Elephas maximus indicus: one gene and its partners. Each later gene encodes a partner of the first gene's protein in a complex. Links are inferred from orthologs where the notes say so. Each region holds a gene or a part of one and is shown in the gene's direction. Other genes may lie near its edges. The genes, in order: TIMP1, stromelysin-1-like and MMP10.

The links.
Region 2: the proteins of TIMP1 (region 1) and stromelysin-1-like are in contact, whole or in part, in a crystal structure (PDB 1UEA), measured with the Homo sapiens proteins. The link is inferred for Elephas maximus indicus from reciprocal best matches to the Homo sapiens genes TIMP1 and MMP3. Residues at the interface, in NP_003245.1 of Homo sapiens: Cys24, Thr25, Cys26, Val27, Pro28, Pro29, Val52, Thr56, Leu57, Tyr58, Pro87, Ala88, Met89, Glu90, Ser91, Val92, Cys93, Thr121, Cys122, Leu156, Ser157, Pro159, Gln173, Leu174, Gly177, Glu179; in NP_002413.1 of Homo sapiens: Phe100, Thr102, Phe103, Phe171, Tyr172, Gly178, Asn179, Val180, Leu181, Ala182, His183, Ala184, Tyr185, Ala186, Thr207, Thr208, Gly209, Thr210, Val215, His218, Glu219, His222, Phe227, His228, Tyr237, Pro238, Leu239, Tyr240, His241, Ser242.
Region 3: the proteins of TIMP1 (region 1) and MMP10 are in contact, whole or in part, in a crystal structure (PDB 3V96), measured with the Homo sapiens proteins. The link is inferred for Elephas maximus indicus from reciprocal best matches to the Homo sapiens genes TIMP1 and MMP10. Residues at the interface, in NP_003245.1 of Homo sapiens: Cys24, Thr25, Cys26, Val27, Pro28, Asn37, Leu57, Tyr58, Pro87, Met89, Glu90, Ser91, Val92, Cys93, Arg98, Thr121, Cys122, Cys155, Leu156, Ser157, Ile158, Gln173, Leu174, Gly177, Ser178, Glu179, Lys180; in NP_002416.1 of Homo sapiens: Phe170, Tyr171, Gly177, His178, Ser179, Leu180, Ala181, His182, Ala183, Tyr184, Pro185, Tyr191, Asp205, Ala206, Ser207, Gly208, Val214, His217, Glu218, His221, Phe226, His227, Thr231, Tyr236, Pro237, Leu238, Tyr239, Asn240, Phe242, Thr243.

The regions. Positions count from the first base shown.
Region 1 is NC_064846.1:124,057,273-124,064,508, reverse strand, and holds the start of TIMP1 (metalloproteinase inhibitor 1), read left to right. Parts: upstream 1-4,211; 5' UTR 4,212-4,318; intron 4,319-5,258; exon of another isoform or gene 5,259-5,261; 5' UTR 5,262-5,269; coding exon 5,270-5,390; intron 5,391-6,613; coding exon 6,614-6,693; intron 6,694-6,879; coding exon 6,880-7,006; intron 7,007-7,236. UniProt on the Homo sapiens protein: Metalloproteinase inhibitor that functions by forming one to one complexes with target metalloproteinases, such as collagenases, and irreversibly inactivates them by binding to their catalytic zinc cofactor.
Region 2 is NC_064825.1:17,788,801-17,796,132, forward strand, and holds the start of stromelysin-1-like, read left to right. Parts: upstream 1-4,254; 5' UTR 4,255-4,299; coding exon 4,300-4,404; intron 4,405-5,173; coding exon 5,174-5,418; intron 5,419-5,516; coding exon 5,517-5,665; intron 5,666-5,821; coding exon 5,822-5,947; intron 5,948-7,332. UniProt on the Homo sapiens protein: Metalloproteinase with a rather broad substrate specificity that can degrade fibronectin, laminin, gelatins of type I, III, IV, and V; collagens III, IV, X, and IX, and cartilage proteoglycans.
Region 3 is NC_064825.1:17,872,367-17,879,900, forward strand, and holds the start of MMP10 (stromelysin-2), read left to right. Parts: upstream 1-4,466; 5' UTR 4,467-4,502; coding exon 4,503-4,613; intron 4,614-5,389; coding exon 5,390-5,634; intron 5,635-5,732; coding exon 5,733-5,878; intron 5,879-5,999; coding exon 6,000-6,125; intron 6,126-7,534. UniProt on the Homo sapiens protein: Can degrade fibronectin, gelatins of type I, III, IV, and V; weakly collagens III, IV, and V. Activates procollagenase.

The DNA.
Region 1 (7,236 bases):
GAGATGCCAGTGCACATTGAGACACAAAAGACAGAGGGACCTGCAACCAGCACAGACTCCAAAGCGCGCCTAGCTCTCCAGGGCTCACAGAGACCCACAACACAGTCATCCACCACCCCCCCACCCCATGTGCTCACAGCAGGGGACAGAAATCAGCATGCTTGACCAGCCTTGTTTCTCAGCAGTACACACTCAACATTCCTAGACACACACTCAACACTTTTGGACACAGACACAGCACACAGCCCTCCTCCCTTCGCCCAAACACACTTAACAGAGGGACACACGCAACACCCAACAGGTGACCCATACAACACAGAGACAACCATCAGAGATACAGCCACAGAATACAGAGACACATTTAACTCTGACAGGCACACACAACAGAACTAGACACAGAGTTAACACAGGCACACAGAACATCCCTAGGCACATGCACAACAAACAGAAGAACCCACACAACATACAGATGTACACACTTCTAGGCATTCACATAACCACTGAGACCCATAACAGAGACCCACACTACACTCCTGGGCACACAAAAAAGTATATCTAGACACACAAAACATGCCTTGTCATATACAGAACACAGGCATGCACACAACCAGAGACACTCAGTACCCTAAGTATACTCCCAGGCCACAACTCTGGGTGTGTGCCCACACAACATTCCTTAGGATGTGTGTGCGTGCGTGCGCGTGCGCACACACACACACACATATACACATTCAGGCGTGGGAAAGACCTCGAGTTCCACCCCCCACGCCCACTCTGGGTGGGGTAGAGGGGCCTGGGTTGGGTGACTCCAGCCCCACCAATAGCACGAATGCACGCAAAGGGCCCCCTCCTGCCCCTCCCTCCCGCTGTGGAGACAGATGCCTGACGGGGGTAGAGAGAAGGCATTCCGGGAGGGGATGCTGGGGCGGTGGCGGTTCCGGGAGGTTCCCAGTTCCCGACAGGCACAGGAAGCCCACAGGCTCAGGGTGACTGACTGACCTTCAGGCCTTGCCCTCCCTCTGCACCCCCACCTTCCTCATTTCCCAAATGACTGGTGTCATTATGGGGGGGGGCAAAGACGGGGATGGGGGATTATGAGGGTCCTCTAGGTAGCATGCCAGGGAAACAATGCAGAGGCGTACACATGACAAACTCAGGCATACGGCATATGTATACACAGCATGCAGAGGTAAACGAAACATTTCACAATTACATAGACAACCTGGACCCGCTTTACAGAGGCAGACACAAAACTCCCATAAGCAACATGAAATACACAGGGATATATAAAACACTCACATACACACAGCTCTCAGAAACACACAGCAACACAGAGGTACACATACCACCTAGAGGCACACATACAGCTCTCAAAGGCACACACACACACACACACTCAGAGGCAGAAACGCACCAGAGAGCTGAGTGCACACATGCCCGAGGTTTCTAGGCCCCTCTTTTCATAAACAGTCCTTGTGTCCTCTGACCCTGAACCTGCACACACTGTGTATGTGTGTGCCTCCACTTGTGTGCATGCATGAAGTTATGGACTCTGGGGTTCCCCTGGAAATCCCTAAGTTTGCATTTTGGCCTCCCCTCTTCCTTAACGCCATGTCACTTAATTCCTCCCTGGGCCTCAGTTTCCTGATCTGTACAAAGGGCACCTAAGCACTGGTGTGTGGTGGGGACTGTCGGAGTTAGCTCTACACACCCCAGCTGGGCTCCATGGGCTCCCACACCATCGAACTCCCCAGATGATCACACACCTGAACACTCCTTCCACAGAACTCCACCAGCTTCACAGCCTGTGCACTAACCCAGATCCCCAGAACCCTCATATGTAGATGGTAAAACCCTGTGCTGACTCAGGCTTCAGAATCACAGAGCTGGCGTCAGAACCGGGGTCAGTGAGGGGCTGCAACAGGACTTTCCCTTTCCTCGCTTCTTCCTCAGCCTGGCCAGCTACCACTCTTACTCAACCCGTTTCATTCACTCTAACTCCCCCGGTACTCACCCCCTTTCACAGTCAGTGTCTACAATCTTTTGAGTTTACTTCTCTCCTTCCTGTCCCCCCTAACAAGTCATTTCTTCACTCTCATTCCTGGGAAGGTCACTCAACCCCTTTGTGTCTCAGTTTCCTCATCTGTATAATGAGAATATAAGCAGTTCCTCATACAGGGATGTTGTGAGGAATAAACTAGTTATTTCAGGAAAAACACAGCACAATATCTAGCACACAGTAAGTCTCAATCCTCAATAAGTGTTGGGTACTATTATTATTGCTTTAACATCCTTTCATTAAACCAACATTAATTAACAAGGAGGTGATCAGAACTGACTGAATGAGATACTGTATATACAAAGACTTTAGAACAGTGCTTGCTACACAGTAAACTCTCCGTACGAGTTGTTGTTGGTGGTGGTTATTGTTATTACTGGTCTAACCTCTCTGAGTTAATCAAGCCTAATTCTCAAAGGGGCAATGGAGATTGAATGAGACAATTTACACACAGACCTTAGTAGACAATACACAGTAAGTATTATCATCACTTCATCATCATTATTGGTCTACCCTCCCTGAATTAACCAAGGATGTTAATCAGCCTTCAGAACTTGGAATTGTCCCCTTCCCCAGGACCCCCGGGACAGCCAACATCAGGAAGCTGGTGGGCAGGGATTGCCTCATCTCACCCTCCACCAGGGGCGTGGGAGGGTTAGTGGGGAAGGGGCAGGGCAGGATGGGGTGGGGATCAGTTTTCTACTGACTCACTGGCCTCTTTCACCACCATTCAACACCGCCCCCCCCCCCCCATATGCACATTCCCGGCTTGCCAGGACTGTGCCTTGCCTGGGTTAAGATCCTGGTGTTAGCCAAGGTTCGAATCCCAGCCATGTCTTGTGACCCTGAGAAAATTCTTCAATCCCTCTAAAAAACCAGTTGCCTTCAAGTCAATTCTGACTCATGGCAACCCATGTGTGTGTGTCAGGGTAAACTATACTTATCAGGGTTTTCAATGGCTGAGTTTTTGGAAGTAGGTCACCAGGTCTTCCTTCTGAGGTGCCTCTGGGTGGACTCGAATCTTCAACTTTTTAGATAGCAGCTGAGCATGTTAACTGTTTGCACCACCAAGGGACTCCTCAATCCCTCTAATGCATCACATTTCCTCGTCTGTAAAAACGGAATACCACCAGTCCTCATCTCAGAGACTTATGAGCTTTAAATGAGATAAATTATGCCAAGTGCCTGGCATACAGTATATTGTTGTTAGCTGCTGTGGAGTCCGCAGTTTCCGACTCATGGTGACCCCATGCACAGTGGAACAAAACGCAAGTCCCATGATCAGTTGTGGCTCTGACCATTGTGGTCCATAAGGTTTTCATTGGCTGATTTCAGAAGTAGATTGCCACGCCTTTGTTCCTAGTCCATCTTAGTCTGGAAGCTCTGCTGAAACCTGTTCAGTATCATAGCAACACACAAGCCTCCACTGATAGATGGGTTGTGGCTGCACATGAGGTGCATTGGCCAGGAATCAAACCTGGGTCTCCTGCATGGAAGGCGAGAATTCTACCACTGAACCACCAATGCTTCATTGGTACACAGTAGGTGCCATATAAATGCTGGCTATTTGGCTGCATTTTTTGAAAGAAGTTAAGACCCAGGCCCTGGTTCCAGGCCACCTGAGCTCAAATCCCAGTTCTGCCACTTTTTAACTCTGTGATCTTGATGTCACTTAACTCTGTACTTCAGCTTCCCAGTTTGTATTCCACCTCCATTCACATGCCTTATCTTCCTTTATTGCTTCTGCATCATTCGTTTCTTCTCTGCCTCCCCTGCCCCTCACTAGAATGTCAGATCTACAAGGAAATGGATTTTCGTGTTTTTTGTGTGCTTGTGTGTTTGTTGAAAGAATGAACTAATTTGGGTTTCAGCTATGGGCAGCTTGGGGAATGTGAGGAATTCGATAGGCTTTGGAAGAAGTTTGGAGACTTGAGGGGATGTGGGGGAATCCTGCCTATAAGGCCTCCACTGAGGCTGCTTGTAAGGATTGGTGCACAACGTGGGGATGGGGGAGGGGGTGGCCGGGAACCGAGGCCCAGGGGGAGGGAGAGGAGGAGGGTGCACCCCCCTTTCCGCAATGGCGACCCGCCCCTTGGCCTCTGCGCTGATGGTGGGTGGATGAGTAATGCATCCAGGAAGCCTGGAAGCCTGTGGTTTCCGCACTGCTTCCACCCCCGCCCCCTCGCATGGACATTTATCCCCTACCGCTCAGGCCCTGCCGCCATCGCCGCAGACCCAGCGCCTAGAGAGACACCAGAGGTAGGCAGGGGCCTGGGTGGCCCCACAGAGGCTGGAGCTCAGCTGGAGCTTTCCTGCCAGCCACCAGGCTGGCCGGTTCCTGTGCAGACGCCTGGCGGCCTACCCTGGCCTCCCAGCACCAGGACCCTGGGCTGGAAAAAGGAGAAGAGGGTGGGGCTGGAGCTGCTCCACCAAACCCGAGCCCCTAAATCCCCTGACCCCTAACATCCATACCAACTTCCTCAAACCTGTGACCCATTAATACTACAAACTCCTCCCAACCTGCCAACTCGCCTAAATTCCTCTTACTGCCCCCAAGTCCCCCACCCCGTCTCCCCAGCTCCCTAAACTCCCCTGGCCCTCAAATCCCCCAAACTCCTCAATCTTCAACCCCTAAACCTCAGAACTCCCCAACCTCTAAATCTCTGAAGCACCCCCACCCCCTTAATCCCCGAAGTTCCCTCTACCCCTTAAACCCCCAAACTCCCCCAACTTCCTAAACCCCAACTTCCTCAAAATTCCTCAACCTCCTTAAATCCAAAACTCCCCAAGCCCCCTATATCACTCACAGTTCACAACCCCTAAACTCCCAACCTCCCCTAAACTTCTCCAGCCCCCCAACCACCAAATTTTTCACCCCAAACTTCTCAACCTCCAAACCCCCCAACGCCCCTAAATCCTCAAAACTCCCCACCCCTAATATTCCAAACTCCACAACCCTCTAATTCCCTAACTCACCCAGTCCCCTAAATCACCCAAACTCCACACACAACTCCTTAAACTCTCCCAACCCCTTAAACCCCTCTGGGCTCCCCAAATCACCAACTCCCTTAAAATCCACAAACTCCCCAAGCCCAAACCAGCCCCTTAATCCCCTTTCAGGCTGCCCTGGAAGAGGGTGGGGGGGGGATCAGCTGTGCTGGGGCCAAATGACACCCCCTGCCCTGACTCCTGACTCCAGCAGAACCCACCATGGCTCCCTTCACGCCCCTGGCCTCTGGCATCCTGTTTTTGCTTTGGCTGATCACCCCCAGCAGAGCATGCACCTGTGCTGCACCACACCCGCAGATGGCCTACTGCAGTTCTGATCTTGGTGAGTCTGTACCCCACCCTGCCCACACACTCCATGCTTTGGTTTCCCTCTCAGTCCATTGGGGTTCACAGTGGTGCCTACTTCTAGAATAATTTCACCCACCCCTGCACTTACTCTGCAGCAGCCACGCTGGCCTCCTCACACTTCCTTGACTACACTAGGCCTGATCCCACCTCAGGGCTTTGTACTGGCCCTCCATTTGTCTGGTACACCCTTCCCCCCAGGTATCCACATGGGTGTCTGCCTCAAACATCACCTTCTCAGGGTGGCCTCCCCTGGCAGCCTTATTTAAAACCTTAATCCCTGACCCCTAGTACTCCTGATCCCTCTTATCCAGCTCTGCAATTCTCCATCACACTTAATACTTTCTAATATTCCATATACTTATTTACTTTGCTTGTTTCTAGTCTGTCTTCCCCTGGCTAGAATGTGAGCTCCACAAGGGAAGGGATTTTTGTATTTTGTTCACTGTTGTGGCCCTAACACCCTGAACAGTGCCTAGCATACAGTAAGTGTTCGAGAAAAATGCTTGTTGAATGAATGAAGGAATCTACAGAGCACAGAACAATGTCTGGCACACAGTTGTTGTTTGTTGCGATCGTCCATTCCAACTCGTGGTGATCCTGTGTGTTACAAAGTAGAACTGCTGTATAGCGTTTCCTTGGCTGTAATCTTAATGGAAGCAAATTGCCAGGCCTTTTCTTCCACGGTACTGCTGGGTGGGTTCAAGCCACCAACCTTTAGGTTAGCAGTCGAGTGCAAACCATTTGTGCCACCTAGTTACCTTCTGGCACACAGTAAAAACAAAACAAAACCTGTTGCTGCCTAGTTGATTCCAACTTGACTTGACCCTAATAGGACAGAGTAAAACTGTCCCATAGGGCTTCCAAGGAGCCGCTGGTGGGTTCAAACTGCCGACCTTTTGGTTAGCAGCCAAGCTCTTAACCGCTGTGCCACCAGGGCTCACAGTAGGTGTTCCAAAATATTTGTTGAGCGAATGAACAAAAGAATTTATGAAAAAGGCTTAGAGCAGTGCCAGGCAATGAGTAGGCACTCAGTATACAGCTGGATCAATGAACGAATGTGTAAATCGCTTAGTGTGCTGTCTGGCATGCAGTAATGCCTATTTAAGTATGTGCTTGTCTAGTAGTATTATTGTGGGTATTTTATTTTTATTTGCTCAACAGCCCCTTTGACTCATTTCTTTCCCTCCTCTCTTGCAGTCATCAGGGCCAAGTTCATGGGGATGGCAGAAGTCAACCAGACTACCTTGTACCAGCGTTATGAAATCAAGATGACCAAGGTATCCCTTCTGCCCATTCCCCAGCAGTTCCTAACATTTTCCTCTCCATCAAAATAGAAGCTTCTGGCTACAGGCTAGCAAGGAAGTTGGCTGTGGTCTCAGGATGCTGTATGGCTTCAGGATAGAACATAGAGGGGGAGGATTAATATCAGTAAAACAAAGACTCTTCCTCTCATCCATCAACAGATGTTCAAAGGTTTCGACGCCTTGGGGGATGCCCCTGACATTCGCTTTGTCTACACCCCTGCCATGGAGAGCGTCTGTGGATACTTCCACAGGTCCCAGAACCGCAGCGAGGAGTTTCTCATCACTGGTGAGACCCTGCTCCTTCGCCCTGTACCATGCCAACCTGTTCCTCAAATGCTGCCTAGCCACCCTGTGGCAGGCGAGGCTCCCAAGGGAATGGTCCCAGTTGACATGGGGACCACCCCAATTTCAGCCTATCACAAAGCCAGGGATTCAGCAGGATCTGTACTCCAGGGCTGCCAGTCAGGCACCACCCTGCCCCCAGCCCAGCTAATCAGAAGCTGCTTGTCCTCCTCC
Region 2 (7,332 bases), on another chromosome or scaffold:
TTTGTCTAACTACATTAAAAAAACTACATTACACACTCTAAAAAGACTCAGGGTTTATTTAAAACTATGTAAGTTTGGAGCCCTGGTGCACAGTGGTTAAGAGCTCAGCTACTAACCAAAAGGTCGGTAGTTTGAATCCACCAGCCACCCCTTTGGTTTTTTTGTTTTGTTTTAATATAAGCTCAGAACCTCGGTTTTAATGGACAGTAAACTGGCATACCAACACTAGCTCTGTGGGAGCATAAGTTAGCTCTGCTCTGGAATATATCCAGCCCTAATTATAACTGTTACTACAACACAAACTTTGATTCTATCATTCTTACATAAAGTGACCCATTGAAAGAATGTGTCAACACTAACAAAATCATGACTCAAAAGAAGATAAGGCGTCTGACGGGGGAATGAGCATTACCAGACACAGATGTTTGAGCAAAATGTGAAGAAACTGAACCTCCAGAATAAAGCATAAATGAAGGCCCAGATTTAAGGAAAAAAAAAATGTCAATACATATCAAAACAGTTGCAGCAGTTTTTCTGGGAACTGCCAGACAGGGATACAACCCTGACACACACCTTTCCTGATTTTAAACCAGGCAGTATCTCCTTGTTCTGTTTGAATGACTGCCTCTTGGTCTGTGTACAGGTTCTACACGAGCACAATTCTGGAATTCTCATTCTTCGAAATGTTATCCATAATTTGCTATGATCCATACAGAGTTGAAGAACTTACTGATGAAGAGTACTGGGCTACTAGGCACTGAAGGAAATTTTCCCAATGCTGTGCTAAAGCACATGAAAAGAGAAGAAAAAATTATAACATTGAAAGCAAGACTGATTGTTTTAGAGTGAATTTTTCTACTGTCTATAAAGACAGTGAAGCTGGATTGAAATAAATATTTGGAGGCTTATCTGTGTTTTGTGTTATGAAAATTCAGCAAACACTGGCCATCTAAAAGAGCTAGAAAGATAATTTTCTCCTTACCTGTCTGCTCGGAGACCCAGGACCTTATTTTCCTATTAGCTAGAAAATATTGCGTCCCCTTCTCTATCGCGTGGATCTTAATTTTGAAAAACAGAGAAAAATTATAACCCTAGAGTTTCATGCCTAACCAAAATATCTTCCACAGGAGAGGCTAACAGAAGGCATGCTCAGACATGCAAGAATCAATAAATTTCACTCCTAAATCATTCTTGGAAAAAAAAAATTACATGAAAGCATACAATTGTCAATTGAAAGTCGACTCAAAACTAACAATTCCAGAAGGGGTATGTCAGGGGTTTAAAAGGCCCAACAGAACTGCCGTTACCAAGTTTATTTGACAAAGTCACTTGTCTGCTTGAATGATGGTTTGTCAGATGGATTTTGTGACCTAAGGTGAAGATCGGTCCATAGGGCTTCTCACTCCTGTTCCCCTTCTGCTTCCACTCCAGTCTTCATATAAAAAAAGAAAGTATTTACCTTACAATCAAATGGAATATCCTGTCTTGGAGAACCGTTGAACATCTTATTTGATACTATACTGTTTGCACAATTGAAATACTTATGCTATGATTATGGCAAAATGTTCTCGTTCCCTCTGGAAAATCAGAGTTACATGGAACCACGCAAAGGCTATTGTCATTGCCAAGGAATCTGAATGATAGATTTTGACATTTTTGTGGTTAGAGCTCGGCTGCTAACCAAAAGGTCAGCAGTTTGAATCCACCAGTTGCTCCTTGGAAACCCTATGGGGCAGTTCTACTCTGTTCTACAGGGTTGCTATGAGTCCAAACCAATTTGACAGCTACAGGGTTGGGTTTTTTGGGTTTTTTTTTAATGAAGTGATCAGAGTCCTTATGCTTTTTATAAACGAAAACAAGACTGAGCCATCCACTTGCAGATATTGTCTGTCCCTAATCCCCTCTTCCATTCTAGTTCTTCTTCCAACTAGATAGTTTGAAAGTCTGTGAAAAATAAGCATAAAAATCAGCATCTATAGTCTGATTTCAACTATGAAAAACATGAAGAAACCTATAAACAATATTTTTTTATCCTACAATTCTGATGAAATATATTGCCTTGTTAGTGCTTTTCTCTGGCTGATAGGATTCAGAATTGTAAAAAAAAAAAAAAAAAGTACATATATATATACATAAAATTTTACAAATTTCAAGAGATCATCAGGATGTAAAAAAAAGCGCACACAGTTTAAAATAAGAAAATACAGCAAAAGTGCTAAGAGTAGCTTTTCCCTGATAAGACTGGAAATGATTTCTTTTCTTTCTACTTTTTCAAGTTTTCTAAATTTTCTATAATGGGCATATTAGAAAAAAACAAAACAAAACTTTATTCAGAATCATGACTCTCCACACTACCAACAGAATAAACTCTAAACACTTTATCTAATGGCCTTCCAATGACTGGGCTTCAATCTATCTTCCCACAACCTTATTTTTCATTACCACTCTCCAAACATCTTGTACTTCAATAAAAAATCAACTCTTTGCCTTTTTCTGTATAGATCTTAAGCTTTCTTGACTCTGCATCGTAATTATTCTGTTCTGGTATTTACCTTCCTGTCCAAATCTTTCTAGGCTCCACCTATCAGCTATTTTATCCCAGAGCTTTTTCTAAACACCTTTTCCTCTGCTTAATTCTTATACAACTTCTCACTTCATTCCTTGTAGACTTAGTTGCACTGGAATCTTCTCCCCTACTAGATTATAACCAACTAATCTTCTTGCCTTCCTTCCTTTTTTAAAATAGCTACTTTGACCACTTGTTCTCTAAGGGTTCCTTTTGATTTTTATCTCCAAACCTACAATCTCAGTCTGAGTATTCTGAAACATGTAAAACTAAGACACTGGATAAAGGAGTGTTTATCTGAAAGAATGATTGTATTAACCAGAAGAAGGGTTTCTATGAGTCAGAATCAACTCCATGGCAACAGGTTAGGTTTTAGAGGTAGTAAGGATCATGGATTATCTTGTCTGATTAGTCAGGGAAAATCATGATAGATAGATATGAAAAGTTATCAGATAGGATATTACTTCGATTAACTGCCAGCTTTTGAATCCAAATTTGGATCAGGCTAAATTAAAGTTTAATTAAAAGTTCCTGGATCCCTGAGATACCAGATTTATAAACACCAGCTACTATCTATCTCTTGTATATAATTAGCCATATAACAAATGACTGGTCTGTGGAAACTATTTTCATTTCTGAGCTGAAAAAGTCAAATTTTTTTTTGTACTGTTCACAACTAGAAGTATAGAATAAAAGTGTAGAAGATAAAGACCGAGGAGCATTTCAGTCCAGTGAGTGACGTAATTTATGCCAATTCTGCAAGCATTTATGGAGCACCTGTTTTGAGTCTATTATCCCTTAATAAATTGGGTACAGAATTAAAACCAACCATAAGAGAATAGATACACTTCCTTCTTTTTCACAGACTCTCTTTATTCTATCCTGCCCCTACACTTTTCCTCCTCAAGGACTTGCAAATCCAACCAGAAATTAATAGTAGGTATTTCTCTTTTTTTTTTTTTTCCTCTGGGTGGCACAAAAGATTAACTGCAAGGCTGTAAAGGTTGGCAGTTCGAACCCACCCAGAAGGATCTGGGAAGAAAGGGGTGGCTATCTGCTTCTAAAAGGTTTCAGTCATGAAAACCCTATACAGCACAGTTCTACTGTGCAATAACGGGGTGTCCACGAGTTGGAAGTGGCTTGTTGTCAACTGATATTTGGAAGCAAAGACACAAAAAATGAATTCTCCCTTCCAATTTTCTTCTAGATACAGACTATAGCTACATATGCATGGCATTTCATTTCTTTATATCTTGTCATATTACATTTTATTCTAAAATATGTTCTTAAAGTATAACTGCATTTGAAAGTTCTGCTCAATTTTAACTTTTTGTTAAGTCAGCCCGCTTCTCCTCAAAAACACACAAGCATGAATTGTCTAGTAAATTCCGGTCCATTTTCTTTACAGAGTTTTTAAGGAAAAATGTCCCAGTTTTCTCCTTTACCAAAACAGGAAGTATTTCCTGGCCATTAATCACTGTTTCGCTTTGTAAAATTGGAAGGTTGAGAGAAATTAGTAAATTACGTTGTATCACTCTACTTTGAGTTTGGAATTTCTGGAAATAGTCCTGTTGGACCATTTCCATTTGGATGAAAGAAATCATGAGTCAAGCTGTGAGTGTTTTGAACAAATCCTGTCACCCTATAAAAGTTGGGCTCTGGAGGGTGGACCTAGAAAGAGGTAGTCAGAGCATAAGGAGTTCTTCAAGTAGAGCTGAGTAAAGCCGGTGGAAATGAAGAATCTTCCAATCCTTGTGCTTCTGTGCGTGGCAGCTTGCTCAGCTTACCCTCTGGAACAAACAGCAAAGAATAAGGACACCAGCATGGATCTTGTTCAGGTAATTAATGGAGGTATCCATCCCACCCACTGGTAGGGACAAGTAGGGAGACCCTCCTTGCCTACTACTCTTACTAGAACGATTGGAACTTACTGTGTAGAAACAGTTCAGGGACAGAAAGTTGTAAAGTATTAGATGTGGAAAGAGTCTCAGTATCACATCATTCAGGCTCCTCTTTTTATGTGGGAAGAAACAAAGGACCAGAAATGTGAGGTTTTTTCTTGAGATCACGCAACACTGTCGTAGCAGCAGCATTAGGACTTGAAGTACTTAAAGGGCAAGTGGAGCACAATGAAGTATGCCCTGTTTTGGAACTTTTTTAGATATTTTGATTCAATGTCATTTTAACTAAATATTTATATTGCTCATGTCATGTTTAGACAAAAGGATTTTGCCAACTTTTTTCTTAAGCCAGACCCTTGTGGGTAGTATAAAGTGGGAAATTGAATAATTTTATCCAGAGTATACAGTTAGGCCAAAAGAGGTTTGTTTGTTTTGTTTTTCTTCTTTAAGTGAACCAGATGTTATTTCAATTTTTCACTTCTCTGCCATTGCTTTGGTACCAAACTAAATTGCAGAGGTATTTAGTTACAAAGACAAAGCAAAGAGAAGGGGGAGGCTTTAAGAAGTAAACAAACATACCATTTATTTTTATCTCAGCAAACTAGAGGAATACTTCAAATACATTAAGAAATGTGAGCAAGTGTAAAAAATTATTATAAATAGATAAAAATCATAAGATTGACCTAAGAACTAATTATTCCTATAGCAATACCTGGAAAACTACTACAACCTTGCAAAAGATGCAAAACAGTTTGTAAGAAGAAAGGACAGCAGCCCTGTGGTTAAAAAAATTCAAGAAATGCAGAAGTTCCTTGGGTTGGAGGTGACGGGGAAGCTGGACTCCAACACCCTGGAGATGATGCGCAAGCCCAGATGTGGAGTCCCCGATGTCGGTCAATTCACTACCTTTCCTGGCTCACCAAAGTGGAGGAAGACTCACCTTACTTACAGGTAATTTTTACTTATAGGTTTTCACATAAGATTATAAGATTATACTCTGTAAATTACAGTCACAGAAGAAAATGTTACCTTCTATTTTTCTTTTACAGGATTGTGAATTATACACTGGATCTGCCAAGAGATGCTGTTGATGCCGCCATTGAGAAAGCTCTGAAAGTCTGGGAGGAGGTGACTCCTCTCACATTCTCCAGGAATAATGAAGGAGAGGCTGACATAATGATCTCCTTTGCTGTTAGAGGTAATTAAAAGTAACCAACCAACAAAACAAAACAATCCAAAAAACATGAAATATATTCATTGATCTGGTGGTGTTTTATTTGAAAAGCCTAAAAAGAGATACTAATTACCTATCTTTCCAATTTTAAAAAAAAAAAAAAACATTTTTCTCTATTAGAACATGGAGATTTTATCCCTTTTGATGGACCTGGAAAAGTTCTGGCTCATGCCTATGCCCCTGGCCCAGGGCTTAATGGAGATGCTCACTTCGATGATGATGAACAATGGACAGAGGATAAAAGAGGTAAGTTAAGCTTCTCTCATAATGACTTTGGTGCTAATTTCCTTCTATATTTGGAAAACTCTTAGTATCGAAGAATGTTCAAGAAATGAGCATTAATCAATGTTGAAAACTTTTCTAGTTTTTTAAAGGTTTATTCCTTGCCTTGGTAAGTACAATGTAAGAAAAATAACTGTGGATCTTGTGGGATCTTCAGTCCATTATTATTAAGATCGAATTCTCATTATACCACATTTCAGATATCCAAGGGATAGTTTATTGCATTAAATCTACACTGACCATAAAACATGCCCTCAGCGGTGTTTATATATTTTCCCCCATTCACATCTTTCTTCTTCAAAACAGAAATCAGAATTAAATTGGAGACATTGAGGTTCTCGGTTATTCTGGCTAAGTCAACATTTTACTGCCTCAAGTTTAGGAAGAGTTTTCATGAACTTGTTCTGAAGGAAATAAAAAAAAAAAAAAATACAATGTCCACACTGTTTAGGTGGAAGAATATTTCTTGGTTCAAAGCTATATTATATACTTTAAGAAATGACTTCCAAAGTTTCAGACAATCTGCTGAACCGAATAATATTGCTTCTAAGATTTGGCTGGGCTTTATAATGAAAATGCAAACGGAATTTCTGCAGAGAGTACAAATGTGAGGTTAATGCTAGATACAATTCTTGGTTTGATTTAATTAACCTCTTCCTGCGAAGTCTCAAATGAGACCTTTCCTGGGGTCATGAGTTAGACAAATAACTTTTCCAGAGGTAGATTTACTTGTTATGTTACTTATGTCAATCATAATTACCTAATGCCTTCCAATTTCTATATATTTTTAAATAATATGAATAAAAATATCTGAATACAGCCAGCGTTTATGTGATCAAAATCTCTTTTCTGACAAATCCTAGATATGATTGGGCATTTATATTTTAAACTAATTTTTCAAATCCTGTGATATCTATATTTATTATTTTGACTCAATATGTATTAAATAATGATGATTAGACAGAAAAATTATGCAGGCAATATTTCAATGGAAAATAACAGGAGTATGGTTTTCTAAGAATTTCAGAACTGAAATGAATCAACTGTGATTCATTTAACTGAGACCATAACCAGCAAATATTACTACATTGAGACAGTGTTTAGATTTTTTAATTTTCAATGACAAATGAAGAGAAATATTTATTGATTTTTTAAACAGTTGGGTCCACTACACTTCTGAACAGAAGAAAAGACACCTGGTTCTTGTGAAGTTAATAGACTCTAATGCTTTTTTTTTTTTTTTTTAATGCTAGTGGTGGGTAGGGATGGGAGATTGGGTGGTGGCAAGGAGTTAAATATAGTGTTATGGATTGGATTGTGTCCCCCCAAAATATGTGTTGTAAATCCTA
Region 3 (7,534 bases), on another chromosome or scaffold:
ATTTGATGATGATGATAACATGATTCTTTTGTTTTGTTCTATTTATACGGTGGATTGTGGTGATTGATTCTCTTATGTCGAAATATCCTTGTATATCTGGTATGAATCCAACTCGGTCGTGGTGTATTATTTTTTTATATGATGCTTAGTTTTATTGGCTAGAATTTTGTTGATCATTTTTTCATCCATATTCATGAGAGATTATTTTTGTTGTTCTTAGGTGCCGTGATGTCACTTCTGACTCATAGTGACCCTATGTACAACAGAACGAAACACTCCCAGGTCCTGCACCATCCTCATAATCATTGTTATGCTTGAGGCCATTGTTGCAGCCACTGTGTCAATCTGTCTAGTTGAGGGTCTCCCTCTTTTTTGCTGACCTTCTACTTTACCAAGCATGATGGCTTTCTTCAGGGACTCGTCCCTCTTGATAATATGTCCAAAGTATGTGAGACAACGTGTTGCCATCTTTGTTTCTAAGGAACATTCTGGCTGTACTTCTTCCAATACAGATTTGTTCATTCTTCCTGCAGTCCATAGTATATTCAATATTCTTTGCCAATACCATAATTCAAAGGTATCAATTCTTCTTTGGTCCTCCTTATTCATTGTCTAGCTTTCACATGCATATGAGGTGATTTAAAATACTGTTGCTTGGTCAGGCACACCTTAGTACTCAAAGTGATGTCTTTGCTTTTTTATCACTTAAAATAGGTCTTTTGCAGTAGATTTTCCCAGTGCAATATGTTGTTTGATTTCTTGACTGCTGCTTCCGTTGGTGTTGCTTGTGAACCCGAGTAAAATGAAAACCTTGACAGGTTCAATGTGTTCGCCATTTCTCATGATGTTGCTTATTGGTCCAGTTGAGAGGATTCTTGTTTTCTTTATGTTGAGGTGTAATCCATAGCGAAGGCTGCGATCTTTTATCTTCATTGGTAAGTGCTTCATGTCCTCCTTTCAACAAACAAGGTTGTGTCATCTGCATATTGCAGGTTGTTAATGAGTCTTCCTCCAATCTTTATGCTGTGTTCTTCTTCATATAGTCCAGCTTCTATGATTATATGCTCAGCATATTTATTGAATAAGTATGATGAAAGGAGATAACCCTGACTCACACCTTTCCTGATTTTAAACCAGGCGGTATCCCCTTGTTCTGTTCAAATAACTGCCTCTTGGTCTGTTCCTCATGAACACAATTAAGTGGTCTGAAATTTCCATTCTTGCCAACGTTTCCATAATTTTTTATGAATGACGAGTGCTTTTGCATAGTCAATAAAACACAGGTGAACATCTCTCTGGTATTCTCTGCTTTCAGCCAAGATCCATCTGACATCAGCAATGATATCACCCTTCCACGTCCTCTTCTCAATCTGGCTTGAATTTCTGGCAGTTCCCTGTTGAGGTATTGCTACAAGAGCTTTTGAATGATCTTCAGCAAAATTTAACTTGCGTGTGATATTAACAATATTGTTCTAAAATTACGTTTGACACCTTTCTTTGGAATGGACACAAATATGGATCTCTTCCAGTTGATTGGCCAGGTAGTTATCTTCCAAATTTCTTGGCATAGATGAGTGAGCACCTCCAGCACTGTATTCATTTGTTGCTACATCTCAGTTGGTATTCTGTCAATTCTTGGAACCTTGTTTTCCGCCAGTGCTTTCAGTGCAGCTGGGACTTCTTGCTCCAGCACCCTCAGGTCTTGATCGTATGCTACCTCCTGAAATGGTTGAACATCGATCAATACTTTTTGGTACGGTGACCCTGTGTATTCCTTCCATCCTTTCAGGTTCTTTTGATTCTTCCTGCATCATTCACTTTCAAACTGCTTATGTCCTTGGATTGTGGCTCTTGTAAACAACATACCTTTTTTTTTTTTAAATCCACTCAGCCACTGTCAACCTTTTGATTAGAGCATTTAGACCATTTGCATTCACTGTAATTGTTGATGAGAGGTAACTTACGTCGTTTTGTTTTTTTGTTTTCTGAATGTCTTAAGCCTTCTTTGTCTTTGTCCTTTAGTGCTTGCTTTTTGTGTTTTGTTGGTTTATTGTAGTGAGTCTATTTGTTTCCCTTCTCCTTTCCTTTTGTGTATTTTTTTAAATATATTTTCTTACTGGTTACTCTGAATATTGTATATAAGAACTTGTATTTATAACATTCTAGGTAAGTTGGTGCCATCTTAAATAATATACAGGAAATTCTATATCTATACCAATCCTCTCCTCCCCTTTTGTTGTTTTTATCACTAATTGTTTATATTTCATTTGCCCTGTAAAACAGACCAAATTTTAATTGCCCTTATTTTTGGAGCCCTAGTGGCACAGCGATTAAGTGTCATGGCTGTTAACCAAAAGGTCCACAATTCAAATCCATCAGTTGCTTCTTGAAAGCCCTATGAGGCCATTCTACTCTGTTCTATAGGGTCACTATGAGTTGAATCACTTGACAGCGATGGATTTGGTTTTTTGGCTTATTATTGTTTTAAATTCTTTATGGCTGATACTCTCTCTCATTGCCTCTACCCAGCATGGACCACTCCTACAGCCCACACTTTGCATACCACTGTGTTGTGCACTGAGTGAAATCCCTCAAATCTTTTCTAGAAAACTATGGGAGAAAGAAAGCAAAAAAGAGAATCCATATGGGAAGTTAAAGGACTAATATTTATGGAACACTGGCTAAGCGAAGGACAATTTATATGTAACATATCATGTAATTCTTATAAACCATTTTTATAGATGAAAGAACAATGTCCTTCAGAAATTAGATATATTTAACCTAAAGATGGCAACTTAGTCAAACACATTATGCCATCCCTGTACAGCAAAGACACGAGAAACCAAATAAAAAAGATGCAGATGACAATCCTTGAACCCTGAACATCAAAAAGAATGGTAAAGAATTCAAACAACATTTGGAAGAAGAACCAAGCCAGCAAACACGGAGTGATATGGAGTGAAGGTTCCCTGACATGGATGGAAATGGGGAGAGTGCTGACGTATTGTGGGGATTGCTACCAAATGTCAGGAACAATCTGTGTCTTATTTATTGAATGGGAAACTAATTTGCTGTGTAAACTTTCACCTAAAGCTAATAAAATGTTCCCAAAACAATTTTTGTATATTTGCTCAAAGCCATCCAGCTGACTTTGAGTCTGGCTGTAAGCCCCTTTCCCTCTGTTTTCAAGCTGAGGTTCCTTCCACTGCACCACACTATAGAGCAAACCCTTGGCTATATTAAGCCACAGGTTGACATGGGCCGATCAGTGCCCATCCAGATTTCTTTCCAATTCTGGTGCAAGGTTTTAGAGCCTCCAGGTTCCTGAAGTTTCCATCTTGTCTAGTCAATCTCAAGTAGGGTGAAGATAGTTGGTGGTGCTGATGGGATCATGCCTGCACACCCATAAATTCAGTCTCCTATTCCTTTGCATATTCCAGGTATGGTAGAGTTCATTTATCTTTAGTGAGGAAAAAGAAAGATAATTCTATCTTAAAAGAATTTTACTGTCTTTTATATTAATAGATTAATTTGACAAAAATGTTATCCCAGACTTACAATGTGAAAGCACTCGGCTGAGGGGAAAAAAAGAGAGAAAATGCTATTGATGGACAGGAGTAGATGGTTAGATATGTGACGGAAAAGGAGTATTTGAAATTATTCCCCTTCACAAATTTCAATCCATCTCCTCTTTGTCCTTTAGTAGGAGGAAAAGAAGATAAAAAGGTTTTTTTAAAGCAACAAAGAAGAGGAAGGTAGGAGGAACATTTCATTCTAATATGCAATTTGACAAGTTTTTATCAAGCAGTTACAAAGAGCATATCATTTATTCTGAAATGGACAATGAATGAAAACCAAAGACGAATCGGTGTGATTCTTCCTTCCTCTACAGACCCTCTTTTCCATGGCCCACTCCCTTCTCACGGTGTTCCTCCTCCAGGGCCAGTAAATCCATCTGGAAACTTGTAATAACTGCTTTAAACAAGGACTCAAAAAATGAAATACCTCTCCTAATATCCTCCTAGAGATAAGTTTCCATATTTAGACCACAATTATATTTGGAATTTCCTTCCGTTCAACTACTTTTTCCTAACCCACTTATATTTGAGCTTAAAATAAACTATTCCTAAAAAAAACCTGAACAGATTTAGAAAGGTCTGAACTTTTGACTTTTTACCAATAAACACATAAACATGAATGATCTAGTAGTTTCTTTTTCCACTTCATAAACACAGAAGCCACTTCCTAGAAATTAATCATTCTCTTGTGCATTTCGAAGTTCAAGGGAAATTACTGATAGAGTCTGTATCATCTTCCTGTTGAATTCTGGTGACCCTTTCCGGTTTCATTCAGATAAAAAAAAAAAAAAAAGAAAGAGCACACACACACCTTAGTCACCAAACACACATGATGATATAAGCCTTGTCGCCCTATATAAGTCCAGCCACTAGCAGGTAGAGAGAGAAGCCAGTAGTCACAGAAGGTGTTTTCCTTTGGTGAAAATGGTGAGAATGAGGCACCTTGTCGTCCTTGTGCTGTTATGTCTGCCAATTTGCTTGGCCTATCCACTGGCTGGGGCAGTGAAGGAGGATTCAAACATGGATCTCGTCCAGGTAATTAATGGTGGGGGCCATGACGCCCCTGGTCAGTCCAAGTGGAGAGACAAGTGTGTTTGTTTCAGCTTGATAATCAGAGGAGGAGGGGATTACAGCCAGACTCAAAGTCAGCTGTAAGCAGAATGATTCGATTGGGGGTTATTATGTTGGGATAACTTAGGATCAGGGAGATTAAAGTGCTAGAAGTGGAAGTCCCTTCATTTTAACAGAAAATGAAAAAGAGGCCCAGGAAGAAGAGATAATTACTTAAGGTCACACAATAAAATATTACAGGCAGCTTCAGGACTAAGTGAAGAGAATAAATGGAAAGCTTCTGAAAAACTGATTTTAGAATTTCCTTAGTTAAAATAATAGCAGGGTGGGGAGAACATGTGAATTTTAGTCTTGCAATGATACCAAGTAATAATGTTTATATCGTTGGTTGTCATGTTTGGACACAAGAATTTGTCCCATTTAGTCTTGACCAGGTTTATATTAACAACGTAAAGTGGAAAAAGTTAGACATGCTCAAAGTATGCATACAATTATGTTTCTCTTTTTTAAACAGGTTGGATCTAAATTCTCAACTTCAAATTCTTTACTTGGCTAGCAGATTAAATTGCAATGAAATTTAAAACTTAGTACAAAGATAAAATAATGAAATCAGGAGTCTTCATGAAAAATCAAATTAAGTGTGCTGTTTGCTTTGGTTTCAATAAACTAGAGAATAATTAAATTGTGACATTCAGGCAACTGTAAAAATTACCTAAAATCTATGCTTATTTTTTCATAAGCAATATCTAGAAAAATACTATGACCTTGCAAAAGATGTGAAACAGTTTGTAAGAAGAAAGGACAGCAGCCCTATGGTTAGAAAAATTCAAGAAATGCAGAAGTTCCTTGGGTTGGAGGTGACGGGGAAGCTGGACTCCAACACCCTGGAGGTGATGCGCAAGCCCAGATGTGGAGTCCCCGATGTCGGTCAATTCACTACCTTTCCTAGCTCACCAAAGTGGAGGAAGACTCACCTTACTTACAGGTAATTTTTACTTATAGGTTTTCACATAAGATTATAAGATTATACTCTGTAAATTACTGTCACAGGAGAAAATGTTACCTTCTATTTTTCTTTTACAGGATTGTGAATTATACACTGGATCTGCCAAGAGATGCTGTTGATGCCGCCATTGAGAAAGCTCTGAAAGTCTGGGAGGAGGTGACTCCTCTCACATTCTCCAGGAATAATGGAGAGGCTGACATAATGATCTCCTTTGCTGTCAGAGGTAAATAATAATTATTTTTAAAAACATGAAATATATCCATGTATCAGGTTTTTTTTTGGAAAAATTAAAAAGAAATCCTAATTATTCATCTCTCCAATAAAAAAATCATTTTCCCTGTTAGAACATGGGGACTTTTTCCCTTTTGATGGACCTGGAGCCACTGTGGCTCACGCCTATGCACCTGGGCCAGGGATAAATGGAGATGTTCACTTCGATGATGATGAACGATGGACAGAGGATAAAACAGGTGGGTCATAACTCTCTCAAAATGATTTCAGAAATAATGCCCATCTCTATCCAAGATAGATGTATACCTGTGTTTTATTGACTACGCAAAGGCATTTGACTGTGTGAATCATAACAAATTATGGATAACATTGCAAAGAAAGGGAATTCCAGAACACTTAATCGTGCTCATGAGGAACCTGCACATAGGCCAAGAGGCAGCCATCAGAACAGGTTAAGGGGATACTGTGTGGTTTAAAATCAGGAAGGGCATGCATCAGGGGTGTATCCTTTCACTGTACTTATTTAATCTGTATGCTGAGCAAATAACCCAAAAAACTTCATGAAGAAGAACATGGCATCAGGATTTGAGGAAGACTCATTAAAAACTTTCAACATGCAGATGACAAATTTTGCTTGTGGAAAGGGAAAAGGGCTCAAAGCACTTACCAATGAAGAGCAAAGACTTCAGCCTTCAGTATGGATTATACCTCAATATAAAGAAGACAAAAATCCTCACAACCGTAATAAGCTCCATCATGATAACTGGAGGAAATATTGAAGTGGCTAAGGTTTTATACTTTACTTGGATCCACAATGAACACCATGGAAGCAACAGTCAAGAAATCAAGCAACATATTGCATTGGGCAAATCTGCTGCAAAAGATCTCTTGAAAGTGTTGAAAAGCAAAAACATCCCTTTGAGGACTATGGTGTGCCCGATCCAAGCCATGGTATTTTCAATTGCCTCATATGCATACAAAAGCAGGACAACGATTAAGGAAGACTGAGTAAGAATTGATGCCTTTCAAGTATGGTGTTGGCAAAGAATACTGAATATACCATGGCCTGCCAGAAGAATGAAAAAGTCAGTCTTGGAAGAAGTACAGCTAGAGTGCTCCTTGGCAGTAAAGTTGGTGAGACTTTGTCTCAAGTACTTTGGACATGTTATCAGGAGGGACCAGTCAGTCCCTGGAGAAGGACATCATGCTTGGTAATGTAGAGGGTCAGTGAAAGAGAGGAAGACCCTCAACGAGATGAACTGGCACAGTGGCTGCAACGATGGGCTCAGGTGTAGCAAAGATTGTAAGGATTGTACAGGACTGGACAGTGTTTCATTCTGTTGTACATAGTGTCTATGAGTTGGAACTGACTCAACAGCACCTAACACCTATCCCAGAAGAATTTGTTTATCCAGATAGAGCAGTAAATGGAACATCCTAAGTAACTAAAATTTCTAATTAGCTGAGTGGTAACGAGAAGCACTCTTTGTCCTAATCCTTATTGAAGAACTTCATAAAATGTCTGCATTTCTTTCGTGCCCCACCAGGCACACTATAATAAGCACCATTCAATTTTACAATAACTAAGTTATTGTTTCTAGCTTAAAAGCTTTTTTTTCTACACTAGTTCTGAGGGGCTTTAGTAAAT